Astyanax mexicanus: one gene and its partners. The protein of the gene in region 4 binds, or shares a complex with, the protein of the main gene of each other region. Links are inferred from orthologs where the notes say so. Each region holds a gene or a part of one and is shown on either strand. Other genes may lie near its edges. The genes, in order: med23, med8, med18 and med4.

What was found.
Region 1: med4 (region 4) and med23 share a complex: the UniProt entries of both Homo sapiens proteins name them as parts of the mediator complex. The link is inferred for Astyanax mexicanus from reciprocal best matches to the Homo sapiens genes MED4 and MED23.
Region 2: med4 (region 4) and med8 share a complex: the UniProt entries of both Homo sapiens proteins name them as parts of the mediator complex. The link is inferred for Astyanax mexicanus from reciprocal best matches to the Homo sapiens genes MED4 and MED8.
Region 3: med4 (region 4) and med18 share a complex: the UniProt entries of both Homo sapiens proteins name them as parts of the mediator complex. The link is inferred for Astyanax mexicanus from reciprocal best matches to the Homo sapiens genes MED4 and MED18.

What each region holds. Positions count from the first base shown.
Region 1 is NC_064408.1:41,856,138-41,863,298, reverse strand, and holds the start of med23 (mediator of RNA polymerase II transcription subunit 23), read right to left. Parts: upstream 3,006-7,161; 5' UTR 2,872-3,005; coding exon 2,821-2,871; intron 1,645-2,820; coding exon 1,613-1,644; intron 1,512-1,612; coding exon 1,424-1,511; intron 1,316-1,423; coding exon 1,191-1,315; intron 967-1,190; coding exon 855-966; intron 574-854; coding exon 475-573; intron 87-474; coding exon 1-86. UniProt on the Homo sapiens protein: Required for transcriptional activation subsequent to the assembly of the pre-initiation complex. Component of the Mediator complex, a coactivator involved in the regulated transcription of nearly all RNA polymerase II-dependent genes.
Region 2 is NC_064412.1:54,814,475-54,822,461, reverse strand, and holds the start of med8 (mediator of RNA polymerase II transcription subunit 8), read right to left. Parts: upstream 3,003-7,987; 5' UTR 2,908-3,002; coding exon 2,902-2,907; intron 1,816-2,901; coding exon 1,694-1,815; intron 1,583-1,693; coding exon 1,438-1,582; intron 1,341-1,437; coding exon 1,200-1,340; intron 464-1,199; coding exon 376-463; intron 1-375. Other genes in the region: KICSTOR complex protein SZT2, read left to right, coding at 3,518-3,541, 4,868-4,993, 5,561-5,734, 6,560-6,730, 7,280-7,405, 7,735-7,891. UniProt on the Homo sapiens protein: Component of the Mediator complex, a coactivator involved in the regulated transcription of nearly all RNA polymerase II-dependent genes.
Region 3 is NC_064413.1:34,556,980-34,563,880, forward strand, and holds the start of med18 (mediator of RNA polymerase II transcription subunit 18), read left to right. Parts: upstream 1-3,895; 5' UTR 3,896-4,004; intron 4,005-4,321; exon of another isoform or gene 4,322-4,455; intron 4,456-5,762; 5' UTR 5,763-5,796; coding exon 5,797-5,869; intron 5,870-6,794; coding exon 6,795-6,901. UniProt on the Homo sapiens protein: Component of the Mediator complex, a coactivator involved in the regulated transcription of nearly all RNA polymerase II-dependent genes.
Region 4 is NC_064418.1:243,450-250,891, forward strand, and holds the start of med4 (mediator of RNA polymerase II transcription subunit 4), read right to left. Parts: upstream 3,004-7,442; 5' UTR 2,975-3,003; coding exon 2,895-2,974; intron 1,970-2,894; coding exon 1,903-1,969; intron 1,519-1,902; coding exon 1,348-1,518; intron 1,062-1,347; coding exon 1,004-1,061; intron 308-1,003; coding exon 221-307; intron 1-220. UniProt on the Homo sapiens protein: Component of the Mediator complex, a coactivator involved in the regulated transcription of nearly all RNA polymerase II-dependent genes.

The DNA of each region.
Region 1 (7,161 bases), on a different chromosome or scaffold from region 4:
CCCTCTGGGTAGAGTTTCCGGATTTCATTCACAGCAAAATAAGCTGGAAGGAGACAAGCATTCCTGTCCAGGATGTACTCCACCACCTTCAACAACAACAACAGAGATCCATGTTATTAATATAAATACAGTGGTCCTTATTCTCAAACCAAAAAGAAGAGCCCATGTTGCTTTCCACATTTCAACACAACTGACTTGGACCACAAAGGGCTTCATAATCATCCCAGAAATATATTTATGTTACAGCAAAAAAAACTAACTTGTCCCACATGCTATGATTTTGAATAGTAATAATGATTTGTGAGTTTTAAACAGGCTATTAAAAGTTTTAAGACTGTCTATTCTGGGGCTATCTTGTCTATCTTGGCTAGCCCTAGCTGACAGAACCAGGCTCTTCCTTTATTGTTCAATATCACTTATCGTAAATGTATTGTAATAAAAGATGTAGCTATTCCATGCTACACTGAACTATACCTCTCGCACAGGCAGCAGCTGATGCACTACAGCCGAGCTGACCAGGTTGGGGATGGTCTGAACTTTATCCAAAACAGCCTTCAGAAGGTCTCTCACACCCTGCAACAGAACACAAAACAGGTGGTTATGTTTTAGGCCATCTAACAACAGATTAACACTTCCAAGTTAACATTTAGTAAATGGTTGGAGACAGACATGTGTTAGTATTTGGTAACAAAACATATGCCCCCCGCTCGACTGTGTTTTTATTCCCTAACTATTAAAGCGCATAACACAAAATGAGACCATAGGCAAATACTCAAAACTAGTTTTTTGAATGTTAAAGTGTTAATGCATTCAATTATTCTGGAATTTTATATAAAGTGAAGATTCCACTGTACCTTATAATCAACTCCACCGATGATTTTGCGAATGAGTTTAAAGGTCAAAGCCCAGAGTTGTGTGCGTTCCCACTCCAGAGAATCAGAGTTGATCAGAGCCTGGCAGACCATTCTATAAACACAAAAACACACAATATTATTTATAATATTCATCATAATATTTTTTATTATTTACACACAGTTCACAATACACCACTAAAATCGATTAACAGTCTGTTGTGTTCATAGATCAATAAAACATTTTTTTTTTTAACTAGATTTATTTTATTAAATTTTATTATTAGCCTTACTTCTACCACTACAGTTTTGTGTAATTTGTCTTATACATGTAAGTACCTGGGGGGCAGCAGACTGGTCTCCACCGCCATGGCCAAGCAGTCATAGAGGAAGGAGATGCGTTTTGGACTGTGCTGGCTGTGGATAAACCTCACGATCCACTGCACACACTGCTCATGGGACTCCTGCAGAAAAGAGCAGCACTGCATAATGCCCCATGATATACTTAAAAGTTAATAAAAGGACAAGACAATGCCCTGGGGCAAAGTGGCACAGGTTTTTGTGTAACTAACCTCAGGAAGACTGCTCCAGTATTGCCTGAATGCTCCTAAACAGCTGATAAGTTTGGTTCTTTCATCTTCAGGGGTGTCCATAAACATCCTGTAGTTATAGAAATATAATTTATACTTAATTTAGAAGAACATGCCACATAACCACAAATGTTTGTATGATGTAAAAACTCAATGTATACTGTCACATACCCAGCGAAAGCCTCCTCAATTACTTCTGTTTTCTGAGGGGTAAAAAAAAAAAACATGAATTTTTACAAAGCTTTGATTATGAATTACATAAAACGAAGACATTAATAATCTTATGAACACAAGAAATTGGTGTTATCTTCCATTTTTAAGTGTATAACAGCAACATTTCTAATTTGTATAAAAATCAGTCAGGGGTGGGCAACATGACTTTAAAATATTATCATCATAATCCAATCTATTTTTGCGATAACTATAGTCTGGAATGACAAAAAAAGATCAAGAATACACTGCTGCAACAAAGACTGCTTTCAAGAATATTGCTATTATCACGATATTCAGTTTTTATAGTCTCACATTTGTACGATATTAATAAATATGATACAATATGCCACAGCCCTAACTGAAGTAAAATATCTGTGTATCACAATGACAGAGGGGGATTTTGTGCAAAGCAAAATGTGACATCATTTATAATTTTCTATTTTGTAGAATTTCCCCTCAGGGATCAATAAAGTATCTATCTATCTATCTATCTATCTATCTATCTATCTATCTATCTATCTATCACACTTTTTTTAGGTGGAGGTCAAAACCAAAACTGCAGACTTTACAACGTTTCTCTGCACATTTTATTTTTAATAATCAGGCTCCAGATTTTAAGATATGGCCAAATATAGGTTATATATATAGTGTGTCTGTGGTGTAGCTGGCCTAATTTTGATCAAAATAAGTGTATTTTTCTCTGAGGCTGTTTAAATCAATTTATTCTACCTCAAGCTACATGAACACTTTAACTGTTGCTTCTGGTTTTACTCCATATTTTCTGAGATAATTAGGTTATGTTCAGATAACGTTAGCTAAACTCGGTAAGTGAATGGTTTATCTGAACCTTAACCGTCATTTAGCTAACTCAGAGAGCATCGTAGAGAAGACAATGGTAACCTAGCTAATGCTAGCTAACCTAAAAGCTAAGCTAGCTAACGTTAGCTAACTCTTCATACAGCTTTCAGCGTGGAGATTAACCCCCGTTTACTAAGGAGCTAATGGAATGCTTAATACAGTGAAGTTATAGATAATCATATCTGAGCTCCTGTTATAAAGTTGGGGGAGTTTAAATCAGTTCAGTTTTTCTGATAAGGGCTAGTTTCTCTAGCTCGGCTAAAGCGACTCTAACTCTCCGTTTCAGCTCCAGAAACACAAACACGCACCACCACGTCCTCAAAGATACTCTGCAGCTGACTCTCCATCGGGACCGCCATGGTTTAACCCTCACAGCGTAGAAAAAGCGCCGGAATATTTTACACTTAGTTTAATTTCTGCTTTAGATACATGATCAGCCGCTCCTCCTACAGCGGAGCCGCCGCGCAGCTTCAATAACAATCCCCCCTCCTGATCCTCCAGCAGCCCCAAACCAGGGTTCCGGATCCAGTAAAAACACTCCTCCTCCTCCTCGTTATTCTCTACAAAAAACTGGCATATTCCACAGAATCTGTGCCATTTCTGTCTCCAGGAAATGACATATATAAATGTGCACACAAAATAACGTTAAAATACATTTTATTAATAAGCATAGTGTCTTGACCTAATTGCAAAAGTAAGATATGTAATATATATATATATATATATAGAACACTGAAAAAATAGCATTTGTTACCTGTCCCCACTCTCTATAAATTTTACCATAAAATATAATTATTAAAATCCTTCACATGTAATTTTCTTGCATTGCTTTGTGACTTCAAGTCCCATGTATGCTTTAAAATATTTTCCATATAAATCCATAATATTAAATATCCATAATATACATATATTATATCCATAAAGTTAAAATACACATTTATTTGTGTCCCTGGTTTTCACTCTTTCCTGTTACCGTCACACAATACCCCATCTGAAACATCTAGAACAGGGGTATTTAAATAGAATTCAGTACGGTCCAGTTAAAGAAAATTTTGCCAGGCCAAGGTCCGGACCTTCGCCATTTTTAACTTGCGTTATGATTTAGTATTATATCCTGTACACTGAAGAAGCCTTGTAGTTCTGTCAGTGTTACAAATTACACATACTAGTACATTTCAACAATATGTATTGTTGTAAATAGGTCTGTCACAATAATTACATTATCAACCTATCATAAAATAAATTAAAACACCCTGAATAATTTAACTTATCGAGTCTATTAATGTGAATCTGTATGTTAACTTTGTTTCAAAATGCTATATATTTATTCTATTTTTATTTATATTAGATTTAGGCCTGCCTGTCATGATAATTACATGAATGACAAATCATACAATATATGGAGAAATGTTTGCTGAACTTGTATCAGCTTTGTTTAAAAACAGCAGTTTTATTGTATTTAATATTAGTACTGTATCAGACTTTATTATGTTGTGGGTAAAACTGATGGGGGAGTTGTCAATGCTTTTTGTCCTCTGGGGGTTGCCTTAGTTTTAAGGTAGGGTTGTTTCGGGAGTAGAGAGAGCGCCTGCGAACGAGGGAGTTCTGATCAGGTGGAGTAAAGTGGACTGTTTTGCTCGGTTACATTACATTATCATCTTAATTTATTTTTTATTTTCTCGCTTTATTCTCCGATTTCTCACCGCCTGCTTCGCCTGTGTGGCTCCGTGCTCCCGCATATGCACAGATCTGATTGGCAGAGGAGAGCGTTTGCTGATCTTACAGCACACGTGATTGGGGTGTAAGTTTAATGCGTCGCAAAGCACGTGAACCATAAAAACAATAAAAGTTCCACCGCTTTAAATGAACACTGTCAGAATTAAATCCTTCTCAGTAGTTTATTGGTTTGGGTCCGGATTGGACAATGTCTGGGTCCGGACCCGGACCGCGGTCCGCCTATTAGTGACCCCTGAGAATATTCTACAAGTCACATCTACAACAGGAAGTTCCATCAGCTGTAAACAACATGCAGCTATATGTGTTGTTTCTTGAACGACATTGCCATCCTTAATCAATTTACTTTTATAAAAATACAGCTAACCTGTACAACAGTGGATCCTTTTAACTTTGTATGAACTCTTCCCTTTCCCCCCCTTAGTTTGTCCTTCCAGCAAAATTTGAGCCTAATTTGTCCTGCACAGTTTAATGTATTTATATGTTTGTATTTAGAAATAATCAAAGAATTAAAACATAATAACAACTAATGTTCTGTATATTTATTATCAACACAATTTGTCCCACAACAAAAGAGGCTTTATATCTTTATTTATTTATATACTTGTGTTTTATATTTTTTTGTGTGAAGGGAAACTGCATGGTTTGGCTGCTGACTCATCACCATTTTTAAAAACAAATATTCCAGTCAACAAAATATGATCAATGGTGTTAAAGGCTTTCATTTAAAATAATGAACATCGTGTGGCTCTATAAAGACCATGAGCAATGACATAAATATTATACATAAAAAAAATGTGGTGAGTGATGCTCAACACTAGGGGGCAGTGCTTCCCCAGAGTAAACACCACAGGTCGGATTTAAAACATGACCGCTTTGCAGTGGAGTCAGTAGGCTGGCTACTGAAAAGAGAAGGGTATAGCTGCAGCCTGGAGCACCTCCAAAGGGGAGGAACATTCCCTTCAAACAGGCGGAGCCTACCTCCAAGTAGGATGGTGCTTGATGTTACGCAGCATGGTGTTTTTTACAACGTTTTGTGCTTGTAAATAACCCCAAAGGTTAATTAATTAATCTATTTCGTTTATTAAATGTTTGTTTATATTAAAATGCATTTTCTAAGAGTCTAAAAGCATGTTGTGCACATTGCAACTACATTTTATTTATTTAAAACCTTTAAACATTTGCCATGCTGTGAATTTTTCAAATTATAAAATAGTAAAGATCTAAATAATAAATGCAGTTGTTTATTCATAGCCAATAATATTATAAATACATACACACTACACGTATATTATTATATTGACATTTAAGAAATATAAATAATCATTAATTGTTGACTAATATATTTATTGACATCCATGAGCCTTTTAATCACGGAGGACTTTTGTTGTGGCATTCGGCAGAGAAATGGAGCTGTGTTGAGTGATGTCTCCCTGCCTTACGATGTAGATTTTTATATAATATAATATAATATGATGTGATAGTACATTCTATATAACATTAAATTTGATGTAATAGAATAATAGTAATAATAATAATCACGTAAGACTTTTATTATGACATTCGTCGGAGCCGTGGTGAGAGAGGTCTCGCGCACAAACGCGCTCCCAGTCGAGCTGTATACTGTTGATGGACTTCCCACTTGGAGGTAAGCCCCTCCCCTTTGGAGCTGTGGACGTCCCATTTGGAGCTAAGCCCCTCCTCTTTGGAGGTGCTCCAGTCTGCAGCAATACATACTTGACTGAAAAGCTCTCATGGTGTCTGTTTTATCTGAAATGTGGTTGCTGTTGGATGATTTGTGAGGCATTTATTGACAGTGACATGTTTATGTTATTCCCCTGACCTTAAAGGAATGATTTAATCAAATGTCAGATTTTCACAACTTCTCCGAATATTGTTTGTTTGTTTGATTAGTTACACTAGAGCTGCTAGATTAATGCAGAGGAAGCTTATAAACCAGCAATTAGCATGATGCTAACTGTGTTCCTAAATATCACACACTCTCCTCAGACTGAAGTTGTTAAAGCAGCCAGGGGCGGATCTAGCCATTTTGGGGCCCTCATTCTTAAAACACACACATAAACCAAATAACTAGAGATGGAACGATCGATCGGCAGTGTATCGGTATCAGACGATGTTCAGCCAAATACGGTATCGGCGATCGGCAGATATTCTTCTGATTTTAGCCGATCTGATTCAGGAGTTTAGGGATAAGCAGTTTATCAGAGCTGTGTGTGGATGAAACTGGTGAAACCGGTGAAACTGCTCGCTTACAGGAAGCTGCAGTTCCTCATCCAACCACTAGTCGGAGCTGCAGCAGCACAATCCCCGCTGTCCAGTGTTGCCAACTTAGCGACTTTGTCCCACACACACACCGCTCCACGAACACATTGTAAATGAATCGCGCGTGCCCACAGCCGCCGCTGACTGACCCCGCTCTGTATTTACAGAGCAGAAGTATAAATATTAAAGTGCCTTCAGTGTAACACGAACAGAAATCCCTTAATTTAATTCACAAAGTCTCAATCATTCACTCACCTCATTCACCACATAGCCTGTCACTCACCTCCTCCACAGTGTCTGCCTCTTTATAAAAAGCTAAATATCTTTTGAACCATTGAACAATTTGTCTATGATAGGTTTAAAAATAAAGAAAACTTAAGAAAACGTAAAAAAATAAAAATAAAATAAAACAAATCTAAATACAAAGCTAAAAAAATTAATAAATAAAACAAAGCTAAATATCTATTGAACCATTGAACAATTTGTCTATTATAGGTTTAAATATAAAGAAAACTTAAGAAAATGTAAAATAAATAAATAAATAAATAAAACAAACAAACTAAAAAAAAAACTGAAAAAAAAAAAACTAAAAAAAAAACGTAGAATAACAGTTCCGGCTGCTGGCATGGCAA
Region 2 (7,987 bases), on a different chromosome or scaffold from region 4:
CCTGAAAACTGGGGCGTGCAATATTATTCAGCCCCCTTGTGTTAATACTTTGTAGCACCACCTTTTGCTGCCATTACAGCTGCAAGTCGCTTGGGGTCTTTCTCTTTATCAGTTTTGCACATCGAGAGACTGAAGTTTTTGCCCATTTTTTCTTGCAAAAAAAGGCTCGAGCTCAGTCAGGTTGGATGGTTTGTGAACAGCAGTTCCACTTCACGATTGTGTCCCACTTGTTGTTGATTCTTCACAAAAAATTACAATTTCATATCTTCATGTTTGAAGCCTGACATGTGGCAAAAGGATGAAAAGTTCAAGTTCAGAATACTTTTGCAAGGCATTGTAGGTAACACCACAAACACAACACAACTTTGAACTCACCTGCAGTTTCTGCCTCTCGATCATCACGAGGATTGTTGAGCTTCTCCAACAGACTCGAACACAGTTTATTCATAGTCTGGATCTGTTTCTGTTTAAACAAACAAACAAACCACTGATTAGTTTTCAGTACTGTTACAGGAAGACAAAAAATATATAAATAAATGTAAGCTGACCACTGAGAAGCAGGGCACTCATAAAAGATATTATCATCACTGATCAACAGTAAATTTTATTTTAAATTTCATTTCTAAATTAAGGAAGCAGAGTCTGGAGGAAGAGTGGAGAGACACACAGTCCAAACTGCTCGAGGTCGAGGTGTGAAGTTTCCACCAATCAGTGATGGTTTGGAGAGACATGTCATCTGCTGGTGTTGATCCACTGTGTTTTATTAAGTTCAGAGGGTTTCATGCTTCCCTCTGCTACTGACAACTTTTATGGAGATGCGGATTTCATTTTCCAGCAGGACTTGGCACACTGCCCTTACTGCCAAAAGTACCAACTGGTCTTATAATATAATGTGTATATAATATAAGCCATTATCATCAACAATAAAATAAATAAATGCTTAAAATAGATCACTCTGTGTTTAATACATCTAAATAATATAAGAGTTTCACATTTTTCAACTGAATTACTGAAACACAGTAACTTTTTAATAATATTCTACTTTTATAGATGCACTAATACATACACAGAGTTAGTTATTAAAGTAATATTGATATATGGAGCAATAGCAATATGAAACACAAAAACAACATAGAAGTAGGTTTTCAAATACATTTCATCTCATGTGACAGTACAGTGTATGGTTGTTAATGCAGTACCTGAGCTACTTCAGGTCCAATCCTGGCAGCTTCTACACTCAGCTGTTTCTCCTGCTCCTCCACTTCCGGGTCCGGTTTTGTCCGGAGGTGATCCGGAACAATCTCATGACTGAACACAGGCACCCTCTGCTCTGTGAGTTTCTGAATAGAAGGAACACAAATTAGGATGTAATTTAGCCCCTGTTTACAGACATATATCGATATCATAACGATATCAGAAAGAGATACAGATACTAACCGCTAAATCTTCGTCTCTATCTGGCGACAGCAGCAGAGGAATGATGACTTGGTTCCGGTAAGATGGAGTTTTCTCATTTCTTAACAGTTTATTCACTGTGTTTAACTGCCCTGACAAAAGGGCAAAGTTGTCCAGCACTGAAGGCCTGTGATAAACGAAACACATCTGCATGAGCAGTTATCAATAGCAATATAGTTATCTATGGCTATTTAATGTATATATTTACATGTAATGTAAGCCATGACCTGATACTCACCATGTTAATCTGTCATATTCATTTTCCAGCTTATAGATGAAGCTCTGCAGAGAATTCTTCAGATGTGCAACGCGAGAAATCAGAGACTCCACAGACGCCTCCAACTGCTTCTCTTCTCTTTGCTGAAAAAAAAAAGAAAACGATTTTCAGACCACATGTTAAAATCTCTTATTTTAAACTAGAATGCTGGTCTATTTTGAACCCCATTCGGTTTGCATATATGCATTATTGTGATCAAAAATCTGCATTTGTTTATATTTCTTATTTGTGCAGATAAAAACAGCAATTTTACCAAAAAACATTTAACTATACAAAAACATTTAACTATACAAAAACATTTAACTAAATAAGTGGGCAAACTAATTGATTAAGAAAACACTTTATCTGGGGAGCTCCTGCTGCTGTTCCTCACTGTATGAGTTTTTTTTTTTTAGAGTGAAATAGAAGCAATTATTCACTCAGGAACAGAGACTGAATTTATTGAATATATATTTTTTACTGGAGAAAGAAGGGGAATAGTGGCTGATTTTAATACTGTAATGCCTCTAACGGCTTCAATTGTGCAATAGAGCTTTTGAGGATTATCTCTTTTTGAATACTTAAACATTAAGTATTTTAGTTCTATTTATAGTGTTTATGGAACTATTTAAAATATTTATTTTATTAATATTTATGGTGTAATTTTGTAGGACAAAGTAAACCCAATAGTAATCAAGCCCTTAATTTAAAGCCCAAATGTTTATTTAATATGTACATCTAACAGTAAAATAAGGCAGACAGCTATATAAAAGCCCTGATATAAATTTGTTGGTCACACCGCCCATTACTAATATTAGTCACAATAAGTTTTTTGGGGGATATATGGACATGGTCTCTTTACAGTGAAGTTCAACTACGATGAGCCATAATTACATTTAGTTAACAATGTATTGCTAAAATCTGAGATCATACGTACTACAGAGAACCTGAATTAAAGTTTATATCAGTAAGAGTGGAATTAAGAGGAGATTTTAGGCTTGTTTTATTATTAAATCTAAGGAACACAGGCTAACCTGCATACAGCGCTTTTACACACAGTAAACTCGCCTAAACACACACTAACATCAATTCAGCCCCCGAATAACACCTTCAGAAGTTATGTAGGAATGACCCTGACGGTACTAATAAGCGGTAAAAAATAATAAAATTACAAAATATTTCAGTTTTACCTGCATCTTTATTCACAAGCAGCGCAGCTCCCAACCACCAAACACCAGAAATACCGGAAACACAGAGCCCAGACATCCCGCTTTGCAAAACACAAAAAGAAGTCCCCTCTAATACGTTCATGTATCACCATTATCAATATGTTATATGTCTCATTTAATCTTTTTTGTCATTCATTTTAAAATGATGAAGTCTTATTTTGGTCTCTAGTATGAATGAATGGAATTTCTCCCAAATTCCAAATAAAAATATATAATTTAGAACATTTTTTGCAGAAATTGAGCAATGGCTGAAATAAAAAAAATAAAAATATTTGGTAAAATCAAATAATTTTTAAGTGGTCTCTTATTTTTTTCAAGAGTTGTATGCTTTAATATGACTTCAATATGCTTTGACCGGATGAGGACTTTTATTTTGACATTATTTAAATCACTAGTGGTGTTCACTGTTTAGCGCTCCGGAGGAGTTGTTTAGCTTTATGCTAAGCTAACTGCAGACAGCTGGGCGAACTTGGCGGTGATAAATAGAAATAAAAATACCAGCAGCGCTAATTTAATTTATTCTGTTAACAGAAGCTGAAGGGGAAGCAGAGAATTCGCCAGTAATGCGAAACCAGGCATGGCAGACAGGCCGGACTCTGAGGTAAAGCCGCGCTAATGCTGTTTATGTGTTTACTCTGCTCTGCTGAACTTGTTTACTGACAGTCTTGTGATTTATAAATCATTACAGAGGCTGGGTCAGTTACTGCTTAGTTAAAGAAAGTGTATTTCAGAGCTCTGCGTGTCTAAAACTTAATATTTCTGCTGTGAAAAATATAAATTTTAACTTTTAGGGGATGTTTATTATAAAACTAATTTACTCTAAACCTGGTCAGACATGGGAAAGGCAGTTTATAGCTTTTTATAGCAGTTTTCATCTGAATAAAGCAAAAAGAAGTAACATAAATATAAAAAGATGAGAACCAGTGTTTAGAAAATTAAATATAATGTTGTAGTAGCTATATAAGTCCACTAAACACACACACACACACACACACACACACACACACACACAATATCCTGTCATATTAGCTTGCCAGTGTTGTTTACCAGCCCCTCCCTAAAGTGGTTCCCACATCTCACTGCAATGTTCAGATTTTTAAAAAAAGCAAGAAGTCTCATATAGTAAATCTCTGCACAAGCATGTATTTATTGATTTATTTATTTGAACCCTCAAGTAATTTAATCTACTTTCTATAAACCCATAACGTTAATTATGTGAAGAGAGATAACAGTTTTTAATCCACTGGTTCATGCAGTGACTTGCAGCTGCCTGATAAATTGCTATTTGTTTATTTTCTTTATCAGCTGACCTTTATAATAGTCTCGTTATAGATTTGTTAGCTACAGAGGTGTGCTCTTATTTTAGAGAGCCCTCATTTTGTACTCTTCACCTTCACCGCCTGTTTTTAACACTTTTACTTAGGCCTGTCACAATATATTGTTCCAGAAAAATGATCATGATAAACACTAATATAGTTGTATTATGACCATTAAATACTTGTGGTTGGTGTGTTGCAGTGGATAACTGGGGGTTATTTCTCAATCTGGGTGAGTTATATATTATATATAATATAAGTGGCATTTGAATGGTCTTAAAATGACTGTAATATTGTTTATCGCAATAGTTTCCGGGACACTATATCTTCCACAAAATATTGGTATCGTGGCAGGCCTAGTGATACGGTATTGCTAATTTGCTGGTGTTAATTCTCTTTATTTGGTGTTAATCTTTATTTAAGCTTGTGTTTACAATAAGGTGGAGGCCCACCTTATTTATTCTTTTTTACAAAAAGAATAAACACATAACCTAAACAATAGCACTGTTATAGTGATCATATAAATCATAATTGTCTGTGATGCTGCACTTGAACATATCTGTGGTGTTTTTTTTTTTTTTTGTAAAAACCTGGCTGTGTTTTCTCTGCAGGTGGAGGAGGCAGACCAGGTTTACCTGTTGATGAAAGAAGATTACCACATATCAAGAAATGTGCGTCTATCCTGGTTCCTCAGCAAGTTAAACCAGGTCATCCGGCCGTCCCCAAAGTCTGAGCTGGTACGTGATCGGGCAGAATGGTACTGAATAGAGTCACTGTGTCATATTTGATTATTTTAATGTTTTTGATAGATAATGTTAAAATGCATAGAATAGAAATGGTATGTATGCTTGGCCTACGTGAGATTAGCCTACAGGTAATTTGTTGTTAGGGCTGCATGATAGAAATAACATCATTTATTTAAATGATATATATTTAAATATTGCGAAAATAGAGTGAAATATAAAAAATAACTATGAACTATAAATATTAAAGATGCTATGATAAATATGTGCTATGGATTGTTTTTGATACACAATTCCTATGCAATTAGGATACATTACAATTTAGTTACATATTTTTTTATTTTAAATGAAAAATTAATGTACATCTTCTACAGAGGCACTTTTGCACATTCTAAAGCATACAGTAATTACTTGTACTCCTTATTTTGGCTTAAAGTCACATTCAGGGTGTTATGTTTGAATTGATAATACAGTATATTACATTTATTACTGATTTAAATAGACTTAGATAAAAAGAGTAAATAAATGTCAGTAATCAGGAAAAATATGTTGTGCTTGTAGCTCAAATCAGAGAATGAACTGGATATTCTCAGTATTCTGCCAAAAGGATGGCAGCCGGATTCTCCTCACACCTCCATGCCGTACCTGCTGGTGCCGTCCACACGGGTCACCTTCCTGGCCCGGCGGTACCGCTTTATCATTGAGCTGGACCTCAGCCCCTCCACCGGGATTGTGGTAAAGTTGCTTGTTTGGCTCAAACCATCCATTAATCTTCTAACTCCATTAATTATCTTTTTTTTTTCTTCATTAAACTGTGTGTGTGTGTGTGTTTAGTGCAAACCTTGATTAAAGATAAGGCTGGAGCAGCAGTCTCACATTTTCAATTTAAATTATTGTATTAATATGCAGCGCCTGGAGATCACAAAGTGAATGGGGTGCTATGGTAACAACTATCTATATGGGGTATCACACTAGCTTTTTTCCAACACCTGACCGACCATATGGGTTATTGTATGAACAGTTGCAGCTGAATGCCATGACAATCCTCTTCACAACATTATGGCACACATCTTGTGTTCACATAGCAACACCATAGCAACCAGCCAAGAACCTCTTACATGTAGCAGCTTTGTCATTGTTATTGGGTGGTTACTGCGGTGAATGATGGCACTTGTTAGGTGCCATAGCATAGCATAGCATTTGCCACATGGAATACCGTACCTTGTGCGACACCTCTCAGCCACACCATAGCAACCACCTGAGCAAACATTTAAGAAAGATATGGTAACCACCGAGGAATGCAACCCCTTAGCAACACCTTAGCAGCCATCTAGGATACCATAGCAACCACCTAACAACCACCTGAGATAGTCAATATCTAGCAACAAATGGAAACCATTTAGGAAAGACGTATCAACCATCTGGGTAGTAAAATCCACTTATATATATATATATATATATATATATATATATTTTAGTCAGTGATGTAAAGCTACAGCAGTATAATAGGCTGTTTTTTTCCTTACGTTTGATGTGATTGTGATTCTCTGTGTTGTGCAGGATGACAGCACAGGCGAGATGATCTTTGATGAAGTCTTCCATGCCCTCTCGAGATGTCTGGCTGGACTGGCTGCTCCGTTTAAAATTCCCGGCACAGACTTCCTGTTTCAGCCTGAAATCTTCATCACCATCCTGGCATACTCCTCCATCGTCGGCCTCAGCTCACACCAGGTCATTACATCACACTTCCCTCTAATCACTTGGATTAAGAGCGGATGACATCACACTTTCAGTATGACACACGTTTCTCTCTACTGCGATCAACCACCTAGTAATGGTTGACCATGGCAGCTACCAAGCCACATCACTGCAACAACTGGAAACCACTTTAGCTGTGCAACCAATCTACTTTTCCTGCAGAAAATGCTTTTTTCTATGATTTGTCTATTTTAAGGTGGGCACAGGTTGTAAGTGCAAGATAAGCTTTATTTAAGGTGCTCTGAGAGCTGTAGTCATTAATACACTTAATATCAAGATAGACAGTGATCAAACACATACTAAACTTAAATAAAGTATTAATTAAAGTATACAAAAACTAGATTAGGCTCTCTAGATTGATTAAATGTTTAAATCCTGTATAGCAGGAGACAAATTATATGGCTAAGGATAGATTACAGTATCTCAGAAGTACTTTATTGTGATTGTGATAAAACGTCTTTATTGTTTTATTTTTGTTGTTGTGTTGAGGCTTTGTGTTTAAATTTTAATCCTGTTCTTCAGGTGTTGGTTCAGGGAAGCCAGCTGGACTGCACAGCAGACCTGGACCAGTTTCTACATCTGATCTACAAGCAGCTCCGCGCTGTGGAGAACAACATCGCTGAGGTTTTACAGCAGCAGCATAACCAGGCAAGTGTTTCACCAACCAGATCTCACTCTTGTTGATGTTGTCAATGCTGTTTTAATCAAGAAAACAGTCAGAACAGAGTCTAGAACAGTGCTAGATAATATAAACACAGCGCATTATTACACTTTTTTTTTAGGTTTGCAAACTAATAAAAATAGACAGGATACCTTTAAAACATTAGTTTTGCAAAAAATTGCATTGTGAAATTATCTGAAATCTGTGTCACTAATAAAGAAGCAGCAATGTCTGTTGTAAAAAGTGATGAATAAAAAATGTTTTTTTTTTAAATGGATTGAAACAACATGAATTAAATGTTTGTGTTTTTATTCAGTGTGATTGCACCTGTTCCACCCTTGCCGTTGATGCCATGGAGGAGCATCTGCAGAGGAAGCAGGGTGTTTCCATGGTAACTGCAGACGTGGGATTGGTCAGTATGGTCCGACAGGGGATACTAGCCCTTCAGCTCCTCCCCCCAAACTCTACCGCAGGTAACAAATGACACACAAATTAATTACGACAACAACCTAGCAACCTAAAATTAACTGATGTCATTCACCAAAGTAATCACCTAATAACCACCTAAT
Region 3 (6,901 bases), on a different chromosome or scaffold from region 4:
TGCCGGACGGAAGGTGTAACTTCGCGGGTGGAATTGAGACATATAAATGTTTATCCCATAATGTCCAGAAAAAGAGAAGTTGATGCAGACGGACGGCTGTGCTTCAAGGCGACCGGTATGCCTTTTGTGTTACGAAGAGTGTTACTGACCAAAATAAACGCTTTTTAGGAGAGATATAAGTTCTGTGTAAATATTTATAAGACAATAGCTGACAAAATCTGTTTTAATGACGTTAATAAACATCACTGGGACAGCGCTAGTCGCAGTTTCACCGCAGCAAAGTACGAGGACGTGAATAACTTATCTAACCAGCCTTTACTAATTTCTGCCCTCAATAACCCTTTCAATAACCTCCAATAGCCTTTAATAGTCTTCAGTAGCCTTCAACAGTCTAACCTTGCAGCCGTGGTGTGTCCACTAAACTCCGTAGTTATAAACATCCTGAGGTTAGCAGCGCGATAACTGACCTGTTTATAATGTAATCACAGCAGTGACTCATGCTCTAAACGGCTGCTGTTAGCTGATTGGGCTGAAAGATGAACTGTAGAGAGCTGTATTATTCGGTTACAAAAATCTTTATTTCATACACAGAAGAACTTAAAATTTTTAAAAACGCTCCAGACTGGCTGAGCTGAGCCCTGTAGCCCGTGGCTGGGCTGTAGCTCTGACTCAGTAAAGACTGCGGACTTGTGGTGCTGCTGCTGCAGCTCCCACTAGTGGTTGGATGAGGAACTGCTAAATCTGAGGAAATGCTATGTTCTTAACAGCTCACAATTTTTGATTTTATATTTATTAAGCCTTATTTCAGTTAATAATTTCAAAGTTAATATAACTTGATGTCATTTCTATTCACTTGAATAGTTTGGTTCTTGATTGATGGAGTTTCATGACATGACAAATTAAAAGGATTTATGTTAATAGAGCAACAAGCAAACATTTTTTCCATGCAACTGTAATATTTGATTGAATAAATAATATATTGAGAGTTATTTAACATTAAGGAGTAATTACATTCATTTACATATATTACATTTGGTTACATTTTATTACATTTATAAGTTACATCTGGCCCTCGGAGGACAGCCAATATGCCAATGTGGCCCTCGGCCAAAATGAGTTTGACACCCCTGCTGTAAGACATCTTCTAGTTTTTTCTCACTCAGTTGTGTTTGCAAAAAGACAAAATCTCCAAATTTGCTTTTTAAAATTTCTGGGAACACAGGAAGTAAGAACTGTAGTTTTTTTCTGGGCCCAGTTCTAGTAACACTGATGTTTTGACCTGTAGCCCAGTGGAGATTGTATTTGCCTATTCGATCATATTTATGAGCACATAAACCAAAGTGTATGGCACCAAAGCAAGAAAAACTTACCAGTTTGCTACCTTTCTTAAATAAAAAAAACAATACAATAAAGTTTACATCACTTGTTTACTGAGGTTAAACAATTTCAGCAATTTTACCTTTGAGCTGGCACCAAAACGTGCTGCTTAACTTTTTAAACACTAAAATGACTAAATGCTATATCATTCAAGTGATATACATAAAATTGGCATCAAACAATGAATAAAAGCATTTGCAAATGCATGTCATGTATTAATGACATAACATGTCAATCCATGTGGGTGGAGCTTCAAAAACTCTTTTTCCATATAGCATGACAAATATGGTGCAAATAGATAACTGTGAGGTGATACATTTTAAATATATATATATATATATATATATATATATATATATATATATATATATATATATATATATATACAGCTCTGGAAAAGATACCACTTAAAATTATGTGTTTCTTTGATTTTACCAAATTGAAAATCTCATAATCAATCAAGAATAGAACATAATCAAGAGAAAGATGGATGATTACAAGCCATATAAATGACAATATATTTATTTGGATTTTGGTAGAAATGTTGTCCATAGTTTATAAAATAAAACAAAAATGTTCATTTTACATTTAACATGTACCTATAAATAGCAAAATCAGACAAACTGATTCAGAAACTGAAGTGGTCTCTTAACTTTTTCCAGTGCATTCATTTCACAGATTTGTTTACACAATGTTAGTGAATATCAGCATATCTGAATGTATGGCATAGTAACTTTCAAAATCCCACCCCCAACATTTCCACACACACACACAGACACACAAGTGCGCTCAAACATACACATACTCACATAAACTTAAACCTATACAGAAACATGAATCTCCAGGTAAACACACACACAGGCATCCACACATAAGCAAATATACACACATATGAGCACACACATACATATACACACATATAAGCAAACACATACACACAAGCAAACACTGGAGAGTAAAAAAAGCAAACTCACCAAGACATGTATGCAAGCACTTTTTCTCTTATGGGTGTACTTACTTTTGGTAACAGCGATTTAGACATAAATAAATAGCTGTGTGTTGAGTTATTTTGAGGGTGCAGCAAACGTACACCGTTATACAAGATGTACACTGACTATTTTAAATTGTATCAAATTGGCATATCTTCATTGTTGTCCTATGAAAAAGTAAATATTAATAAAATGAATTAATAACTCACTTCTGTTACATACTGTATTTTTTAAGCCCATCTAACCTTTAAAATGACATTATTTAAAAAGAACATTTGTTTGATCTTCTATACTTAGTCATAAAGGAGTCACACACTCACATTGTACGGCATGCAATGTTCTTTTGAAGAACAAGATAATGTCTTAACATTGAATCAAGAAAAGATTTAACATCACATGATTTCAAAGCAAACTGGATACAAGTTGCTTAAAGTAAATACTGATTGATTTATGATTGATAAATGAATACAGATTATTCATTAACAGTCTATCATATTGAATGCCCTGCAGAGGGTGGTGAAGGCTGCACAGGGGATTGTTGCCTCCCCAGCACCATGGACATCTACACCTCCATACAAAGGAAAAGGGCCACCTGCACCACCCACCACCCTCTCTTTATGTCCCGCTCCAGGCAGAAGCTGCATCAAGTACAAAACAACAAGACTGAAAAACAGCTTAATTCCAGAACTGCACTGACAAATCATATTGCTGCTACTCTCCAACTCTCCTTTATATTTTGTGTATTTATCTTTATATTTTCATTTTTTTATATATATATTTTTTTATCTTTATATTTTATTATTTATATTTACTTAACAATTGCTCCTTTTTGGTGGAATTGGACCGTGAGTTTATTAATTTTATTCCACCTGTACCACATGTGATGTGAATGACAATAAAGTCTCCTTGAATAAGATTATCACGTGAAGAAAAGAAAACAACAGACAAGCTCACTCACACACGCACAGACATACACATATAAATGTCTTGGTGCTCTACTGATTGTACTGGTCTAACACACATGCATGCAAACACACACACAATATAAAGTAAAACACCAAGGTTTATATGATAATTCCTGAAATTTAATATGGCGCAACATAAAATTTGCTTATGGACTTAAAAATGTCACTTCTTCATATGTAACATTTCTTCTTCATTTTCTTCTGTATTGGTTGCTTTCTTTGTTTTTTTTTTGTTTTTTTTTTTTCGTTTTTTGTTAAGATTGATTAATTTGCTATTTTCCTGTACATTACAATTATATTGAACTAATACAACATTTAATATATATATATATTGTAAAAGTTTACACGTTTGAGGACATTGTGTTGTGCTGTTTTTACAAATTTGGCAACCCAAATGTACGCGCATGCGCAAAGCCTGTACCTCTACAACGAACAGAGTTGCCAGTTTCGCGGTTTTTCAGCCAAATTGGGCTTGTTTCAAAATCCACTCGCGGATGAAAATTTAGGGGTGGCGGGGTGCATTGTTTGGGCTACTTTTTAAAAATTACCGCGCTCGCCAAAAAAGTCACAAAAAAGAAAAAAAAACACACAATCTAACCAGAAATCACCCCGCGATGAAAAAAAGGTTAAAGAGGATAGAAGGGAGTTCAGGATGGGAAAGAAACATAAATGAGTAAGTCAAGTTTTTTTTTTTTTGCTAATTATGTTACTATTAAATGTTCTTGTCTGGGATATAAAACTGTTATGAAAGAACTAATAAAACACAATAATACAAAAAAAATACAATACAAAAATACAATATTAATGACTTTAAGGTAAATAGCAATACTGATAATAAATATATTATAAATATAAAATACTAAGTCGTAGTTGTTTTGCCATTTGCGTCGAATGTAAGACAGAAATATTTAATATTTTGGGCTAGGTTAAGCTTCTGAAGGCCGGGATTTAGACTGACTTTGAGTATTTATGGTGGACCTGGCAACCCTGACAATGAAAGCGCTAGCAGGCTAAGCGACAACAGAGTGCACAGACAGCAGTGTTACACAGCCGGTCAGTCAGATAACTGACGGTTAAGACGTTATAGGCTGAATATTTCACGCTTTCCTCTTTACACAGAGCCGGTATGTGTTATATTCAGAGCTGGGTTTGTAGTATTTGTCTATCTTTCTGAATTATTTACTTGTTTCGTTTAGGCCTCGTCTTTCTCACACACACCTCCAGTGCAGTGGCGCCACTGTGCTGTAACATTTGAGTAACACACACACAGAGACAGGCACACCAGGACCTTTTAAAACACTAATTTACCAAAATAAAAAGTATTTAACTGCTAGTTTAAATGTTACATTTGTTCCTGGTTTATTTAAGGGTAGTATATTAATAACTTAACTAGAGTTAACGAGCTAACGCTAACTAGCTCATCGTGACCACAAACAGCCTTTGATTACTAACCTGTAACCTAGCTACTTTAGGGTCACTTAATATTTATCTATCACTCTTTTATCTAGTTAACCAGCTAACCTACGTTTATTTAATGCTGTACTTAATGATGTTTTTAATTTTTCACAGAAGTAGTAGTTAACTAGCTGTTTGAGTAATGGGAGCCCCGCCAGTCACCGTATATATACAGCTCTGGAAAAAAAATAAGAGACCACTTAAAAAGTTTTTTTTATTATTATTATTTTACCAAATTGAAAACCTCTGGAATATAATCAAGTGGAAGATGGATGATCACAAGTCATCAAACCAAGCTAAACTGCTTGAATTTTGCAGGAGGAGTGGCATAAAGTTATCCAAAAGCAGTGTGTAAGACTGGTGGAGATCATGCCAAGGTGCTTGAAAGCTGTGATTAAAAAACAGGGTTATTCCAACAAATTTTGATTTCTGAACTCTTAAAACTTTATGAATATGAACTTGTTTTCTTTGCATTATTTGAGTTCTGGAAATTCTGCATCTTTTTTTGTTGTTTCAGCCATTTCTCATTTTCTGCACATAAATGCTCTACATGACAGTATTGTTATTTTGAATTTGGGAGAAATGTTGTCCGTAGTTTATAGAATAAACTACCTATAAATAGAAAAATCAGAGACACTTATTCAGAAACTGAAGTGGTCTCTTATTTTTTTTATATATATATAGATAGATAGATAGATAGATAGATAGATTATTATTGATTATCCATTGGCTGACACTGACCACGCTACATATACTTACTATATTGTTTTAAGCTATATATTTGTGTGTAAAACCCCCAAAAAATGTGAAAACCAATTTTTCAGACACCTTTCATTTTATTGTTTGCTCAAGCTAACAAACAGCCTTTGATTACTAACCTGTAACCTAACTACTTTCGGGTCTAGCACTCTTTTATCTACTTAACTAGCTAATTTAACCTACGTTGATTTAATGCTGTGTTTAATTTTTTTTACAGAAGTTGAAGGTAACTGTAACTCCCCGGGTGAGTGATGGAAGCCCCGCCGGTCACCGTGATGCCCGTTACCGGGGGCACGATAAACATGATGGAGTATTTACTGCAGGGTAAGATACTGTCTGTTTTCAGCTGTCGATCCCGTTTCTCCGCTGTTTCAGCGAGGCATGGTCATTACAATGATTCCAAATGATTATCAACAACCGGGTTAAACCAGTTGTATCGTTATGAAGCTTCGATACCTGTACCCACGCCGCCATCTAGTGTTTAGTTCTAACTTTTTCTGAAGTTTAACTTTCTTTCTAAACTCAGATTTTCATTTACAAATACACTTTAACTACAAAACGGATAGATGTACACATGTGATCTTTAGCATAACTGGGAAGGGATGGAACAGGGCTGTGTTGAAATGAACAGCTGCAACCAGCTTAAAACTAGATTTGTACAATTATTGTAGAATATTTTGCATTTACCTTTTTCATTCCAGGCAGGTTATTTTGATGATTACATGTAATTCCATTTACATATTTGTAGAGGTGGGCAATGGGGCCCTAAAAGTATTTTTGTGAAAACAATATTTTTGGCGATGTGACAAAATATTTGGATAATAAAATAAATTATTAAAAAAACACTGTTGCAACAAAATTATTGTATTTGATTTGCCAGTATTATTGCATAGAGTATGATATGGCCAATCCCTAATTGAGGTTGAAACCAAAGGTAATGATCTAACGTGTTACAATACTATTAATGCGCTCTATATATTTAGGACTGGTTTGAATCTTTAAATTTTAGCGATATTGGAATTGTTTTTTTTTTGTGAATATCTTTTCCTTTTCCTTTTTTCCCCAAGAACAAGTACAACATACAAAAACAAACAAAAGTATAGAACAATTAAATATTTTTTAAAAAGAATTATCAGCATCATTTGACTTGGTCAACACTGTTTTGATGATCTGTAGTATTACTTTATTATTACTTTATCTGTAGTATTACTGTATTTCTGAAATTAATACTGTATTCTGCACTCCATAGGCAGTGTGCTGGACCAGTCCTTAGACAGTCTCCTCCATCGTCTAAGAGGTCTGTGTGACAACATGGAACCAGAGAGCTTTGCTGATCATGAACTAGTTTACCTTCTT
Region 4 (7,442 bases):
CCATGCTCATTTAGTTGAGAGTCTATTTTGTTGAAGTTAAAGTTAATCCTAAATCATGTTAAATGTCGTAAATCGATGGGTTTTATAATAAACAGCAATAAACAAAAAAGTGGGGAAACACTAAAAAGAATTATGCCGGTGTGAACCCAGCAAAACAGCAAAAGATGCTTGAGATGGAAAAATAAGGAAAAAGAAGTAAATATATATATAAAATTAATACCTGGAACCCAGTTAAGAGGAGCACACACTGCATTACTGGCGCTTATCCTGTGCGCATACTTAATTATTTCCTCTGAAGAGATGCTGCCTGCAAAATAAACACAAACAAATTATTATTAAACCAAACATTTAATCAGAGCTACACAATCATTAATTCAGAGGAAGTGTGAGCAGAGACTCTTCATTTACTGATCACAAACGAGACGGATAATCAACAGCTAATCAGTATTTATATTAAACAAACTAGTCCAGTGAAAGGGAGATAAAACTGTGATGTTATAAAAGTGTTCATCATAAAAATAATACACTGATTGATATCGCCTATGACTTTTCTCACACTATTAAATGATATGTTGACCTGCAGGATCCTGTATACGTGTGGGATCTCCTGCACTGAATGTGGATGTGATTTCTGAGGCGCTTCTCTGTTTGCACTGATAATTCCGGTCACTGTGCTGTCTACTGTAGGTGGTAATGGCTTCTATGGCCTAGATAGAGATTGTGGAATGTTTAACATCCACTCACTTTGTCTCATCACTGAGCACATGGGCCAGTGTCCAACCTCACCCACAAGATAGCACCTCACAACGTGTACATGCAGGAATTCCCAAGTAATCCTCTAAAGTAACTCCTCAAGATTAATATCTATACTGCTGTCCCATTAATTTAGGCATGTTACTGTATTTTATTACACAGTGTTAATATTACAGTGGTGTGTGTGTGTGTGTGTGTGTGTGTGTGTGTGTGTGTGTGTTCCTGCTGTGTTCAAACTGAATTTTAGTACCTTTTCTGGCCTTTTCGATGGACTTGAGCTTCTCTTTGGCCTGGTAAACAGCCGTCGCCTGGAGGAGAGAAGATATTCAATTTTATATAAACCCTGATATAATATAAATATAATATAAAGATAAATAAAGAAATGTTTAATGTCTGTGTTTTTAGCAGTCAAAAAAAAAGCTCCACAGATAAAAGAACCTAAATGTAGTACCAAAAAGTTTTAGTTTGTTTAACACTGTTTTTAAGTTACTACATGATTCCTCGTGTGTTCCTTCATAGACTAATAGATCACTTCACTATTTATTTAAAATAAGAATATTAAACAAGAACATCACTACTGAAGATCAGCCTCACCAGGATGTGCTCGGCCTCTTTCAGCTGTTTCTGCAGCAGCTGAATGTCACTGTCTCTCTTTTCTGCTTCTTTCTCCAGCTGCTGCATCTCCTGATGGATCCTGCCCTGTTCCACCGCCGTCTGCATCAGCTCCTGAAACTCCTTATCCCTCTGAACCAGCAGCTCCAGCACCTGCGTATACACCACCAATATATAAACCATATATAAACACAATCTGACAAAGCACAAAAAACTGCTGCTAAACACAATAAACATAATTACTAATATTTACAAAACAGGAGAAAATTATATAAGCAAATATTTTAATATGATGTTTATGGAATATAGAATATGCTGACTTTTATGCAAATCATCAGTTCATTTAAGATTTTTAATAAATGTGTGAGATTTCTAATTTCCTATTCATTTAAATATATGTTCATCTAAAAGTTAATGATTAAAGTTTAATATCATAACATTTTCCACAAACTACAGCATCCCAGAATCAAACCTAAAATAAATATCTGTAAAGTGCATTAATCAAACTTTAATTTTCACACGAGACACACACTGTACCTGAGTGTCCTCTCCGGGCTGCGGGAGCTTCTGGGTTCGGGACAGAGCGAGCATCTCTATCAGCTCTCTGCAGAAACAAACACAAAAAAACACAGATATTATACAACAGCAGGTTTTTCCCTTTTGGGTCTGAACTTATACTCTTTCTTACAGGGTAGAATTTCATAAATAATTTTCCAACAAAAGTCCAGCATTATAAAACATGATAAGTATACACTTTTGCAAGTACATAAACTTTGTAATTTTCAGTGAATTTATTAGTATCTGATCTGTTCATATAAATTAAAAGTGGTGCCCGATAAACAAAAACAAAGATTAATGTTGTGAAGCCTGCACACGCAAAGAGGGCCTTCAATTAAAAATGGCAAAAAAAATAAAATAAAATAAAAAAGAATCAAAGAGCGAAACCATCAAACTCAAACAGAAACAGAACTCTGTTAAAATCTTAAAATCTAGCCTGATTAACGAATCGACTAAGCTGATTTACATTAAAGCCAGAACAGCTGCTGTACTGATGGGAAGCTTTTATTCATTCATTCATTTTATTTATTTATGAGGGACAAAAAAAACTAATAATCGATTTACTAATTATTTTATTATTTTACAATAGTTTATAAGTTATTTATATATTATATAAATTCTTTTTTATTTCTTTTAATTCTGAAAAATAGAATACAAGCAGTCAGTAACAGAACCGCTCAACTAGAATTTCTTTTCTACCCGTATTCAGACAGGTCCCGCCCCCTGCCTGCTCTCATTGGGCAACAGACCGGCGGAATATTTGATGACAGCGCTACCAACCAATCGAGGCTATGAGACATAAACGCCACCAGCCAATCAGAGCAGAGGTGTGTGAAAACAGGCGGGATGAGCAGAAGTGCTGATCAGTAAACAGTCCCGCGCGCTCTCTGTGTCTCTCAGAGCGGAATAAATAATCACACATCTGATAAATAATCAATAATCCCTCAGATTAATTTCGTATTATCACTCACCGCGATAAAACCTCCATATCACTGAGCGCAGAGAGCAGCTTCTCCTTAGTGCTCCTCTCCCCCGCCGCCATCGCGCTCATTTCCCCTCACACTGAGAGAGAGAGGAGGAGGGGGGGGGGGGGTAATAGAGCTTTAATCACAGCGCCCCCGCGCGGAGGGAGGATCTTTTGGTGTTGCTAAGAGTCACGAGGTTCAGCGGAGCCAGCCAATCAGACAACAGGTATGGAGAGAAACACCACCTTAATATTTTTGGGATGTAAAAGAAAAAAATAGAATTGCACTGAAAGAAAATTCCTTATTTTATTGTTTTTTTTTTCTAAGAACAATTCTATTTGAAAAAAGAAATAAAAAAGAAAGAACTAGAAAAGATGTCTAGTGAGGGGAGAATTTTTATTTTATTTTTGTATAGTGGCTGCTCCTTTTTAACCTGAAAAATATTTATTTTCCTAATGTTAAGGCAAACTTTGATTTCAAGTCAAGTCAAGTCAATTTATTTATAGGCACATTTAAAAGACATCAAGTGTTGTACAATAAAACAAAACAAGATTTAAAAGAAAGCAAATCAGTGGTAAAACTATTAAAAAAAACAGTTTTTAACTGTTCTATTGTTTCTAAAAAAAATGTTGATTGTGATAATAAAGTATTTTGTTGCCCACCTCTAACGTTCACATTACCAGGCTGAAGTGACTCACATCTGACTTATGTGGCTCAGATCTGATTTTTTCATGGCTGTGTGAATGTGCCAAATCTGATTTTTTCAAATCAGATTTGATTCACCTTCATATGTAATCCTAAATCAGATACGTATCCACGCATGCAACATGCAACATGAATGTGAACGGTCAAATCTGAATTCATTCGTCTTTTTGCTTTTATGCATTAGCATTAGCGCTACGTGTTTCTCTCTCGTACCCACACTGCATCTCTTGGTGCAGCTGTGCAGTTATAGCTGCAAAAATAAAACAGCAAAAGCAAACTACCTGTCCTTTTTTCACCTCCTGGACCTGAGCATGAACTTCAGAGCAGCTGTTTACTCTCCACTACAGCAAAAGATGCTCCACATATATATAGAGGTTGACTGATTGATATGAAGAATAAATAACTATAAAAAACTCTTTCTGACTGGAATCATCTTAACATTTATATAACACATATCTTACAGATCACTGTAAATCTTGATTGACAAAAAAAACACATTTACAGAAAATAAATTGTTTTATTAAATGTATTAAATGTTTTAATCATCTGAACCTAGATGCTATGTGTACAGAACACAAAACAGAGTATAGATTTCACAGCAGTACTAAATTTTATGGTGACACAGTGGCAAAAAACTCCCTTTAAGAGGAAGAAACCTTGGAAGGAACCAAGACTCAGTCCGTGGAACCCATCCTACTCGGGTTGACCCGCTCAGTACAAACAAACAACAAACAACAAACAGAACAAAAACAGTACAGAGAATTAATGTGAACTATGGCTAATATAACAGGTACTAATTTATGAATATAAGAATGTGATGGGCACAAACTATAGAGCTATGGCTAATACAGAAACAGATACTGAGTGTGTTAATGGTAATCAGTGCAGGGCTGCAGAGCCGGAGAACAACACAGCGGGCAGTGGAGAGCCAGGCTGGGAACATCAGGAACAGCATCTCCATACATGTAAAAGAGATAGATAGAGAAAACAGAAAGGAAAGGAAGAGAAACAAAAAGCAGGAGTTAGAAAGGCTGTGTAATAATTCTGATGAGTAGAAGGACAGGGCTGATTCCTGAAAGCTGGAACCACAGACGGACACATCCAGGAAGACCGGCCGGCCAGGCGTCTCAGCACATGTGAGAAAGATAGAGAGAGAGAACAGAGAGGGGAGGGAAGAAAAAGGGGTTAGAATGGTTTTATAAAACTCTGCTGGAGTGGGATGGGCACTGGTAGCAGCAGCTCAGGACATGGGGAGAGAAAGAGAAAGCAGATGATTAGGACAGGGTTTATATTTGCTGGATAAGCTGTAAGAGGAAGAAAATTGTAATGAGACATTACTCAAAAGCTTGAGCAAATAGAAATGTTTTGAGTCTAGATTTAAAGATTGAGAGTGTGTCTGAGTCTCGTATATTAATAGGGAGGCTATTCCAAAGTTGGGGAGCTTTATAAAAGAACGCTCTTCCTCCTGCATAGTTTTTTCTAATACGCGGGACTAATAACATGCCAGCGTCTTGAGAGCGGAGTGAACGCGGCGGATTGTAAGGAGTAAGGAGTTCCTGTAGATAATGCGGGGCCAGACCATTGAGGGATTTATACGTCAGGAGAAGTATTTTATAATCTATATGAAATTTAACAGGTAGCCAGTGTAGGGATGAAAGAATAGGTGTAATGTGACCGAACTTTCTAGCTCTGGTAAGCACTCTTGCGGCTGCATTCTGAACTAGCTGGAGTTTATGGAGTAATTTATGTGGACTTCCAGCCAACAACGCGTTGCAGTAGTCCAGCCTGGAGGTTATGAATGCATGTACCAGCTTCTCAGCATCTTCCAGAGAGAGTATACTGCGGATTTTAGCTATATTTCTTAAGTGGAAGAATGCAATTTTGACTATGCTACATATGTGAGCATCAAACGAAAGAATTGGGTCAAAGATGACCCCAAGGTTTCTCACAGTTTTACCAGGTATAATTAAGTGACCGTCTATGTCTACAGTATTAACATTTATGTTTTTATCAATATTAGGACCTAATAGAAGGACCTCAGTTTTATCAGAATTAAGTAAGAGAAAGTTGTGTGTCATCCAATTTTTAATGTCTTTAATACAGTCTGTTATTTGATTTGTACAGAGCTCCTCGTTGGGTTTAGCAGATATGTAAAGTTGCGTGTCATCAGCATAGCAGTGAAAGTTAATACCATGCCTACGGATAATTTTACCCAGTGGTAGCATATAAAGAGTAAAGAGTAATGGACCCAGTATTGATCCTTGAGGGACACCATATTTTACTCTAGACTGATAAGAGCATTCGTTATTTAAGTAAACACACTGGAATCGATCTCTCAGATAAGATCTGAACCAGGTGAGGGCTGATCCTTTAATTCCTATAAGATTTTCTAACCTATCAAGTAGAATAGCGTGATCTATGGTGTCAAAGGCAGCACTTAGATCTAGCAGTACAAGGATGGCATTACTGCCCCTATCAAGAGCTGAAAGTAAATCATTAGTTACTCTAAGTAGAGTTGTTTCAGTACTATGGTTTTGTCTAAATCCAGATTGAAAAACCTCATGCATACTATTACTTTGTAGATACAAGCGCAGCTGGTTAAACACAATTTTTTCTAGGATTTTGGCTATAAAGGAAAGATTAGAAATTAGTCTATAATTAGCAAGCTCGCGGGGGTCCAGATTTGGCTTTTTGATAATGGGCTTAATGACCGCCAATTTAAGAGAATTGGGTACGTAGCCCATGCTAAGGGATGAATTTACTATTTCTAGTAATGATTTTCCCACCTTTGGCAGTGCCTGTTTCAATAATTGTGTGGGTACTGGATCTAATATACATGATGTTGATTTTGATGAGTTAATTACACTAAGTAAATCTTTTTCTGTAACCGGGCTGAAACACTCTAGGTGTGTCTCAGAGCTGGAGCAGCATTCATTAATATCTATAAGTAAATTTTGGGGGTGATACTGAATTTTTTGTCTAATGCTATTAATTTTATCATCAAAGAACTTCATGAAATCATTACTATTAATGTCGACAGGGATAACGGAGCTAGTTTGTTTTTGACTGCCGGTGAGTTTAGCCACAGTAGTGAAAAGGAATCTAGGATTGTCTCTATTTTTCTCAATAAGCGATGAAATATACTGGGATTTTGTTTTAATTAGGGCTTTTTTGTAGTCTGTGAGACTATGCTGCCATGCTAGCCGGAAAAATTCTAGTTTTGTGTGTCGCCATTTACGTTCAAAGTTACGAGCGGTTTGTTTTAATGTACGTGTGTGGTCATTATACCACGGTGCTAGCTTTTTATCCCTGATTTGTTTTATTTTTGTCGGCGCTACGCGGTCAAGGTTAGAGCGGAGCACAGTTTGTAGATTTTCTGTTTTGTGCTCGAGATCATGCTCATAGGACGGAAGGGAGATGGTTAAGTCGGGGAGATTATTTACAAATTCATTAGCAATTGCGGTTGTTATTTTACGCTTGCTGATATAGCGGGGCGGGAGGAGGATATTTTGATTAAAAACTATTTCAAACATAATTAGATAATGATCGGATATTGAGTCATGTTGAGAAAGAGTAACTATATTCTCAGCCTCAATACCCAGTGTCAAAACTAAATCTAATGTATGACTACATCGGTGAGTGGGGCCAATTACATTTTGTTTAAAGCCTAGAGCATCTAAAACTGATTTAAATGCAATTTTTAGTGGATCCTGGTCCTTTTCAAAGTGGATATTAAAGTCTCCAACAATTATGATCTTATCAGAAAGAAGAATTACTGCTGCTAGAAAGTCAGCAAATTCACTAATAAAATTTGAGTATGGTCCAGGAGGACGATACAGTGTTATAAGC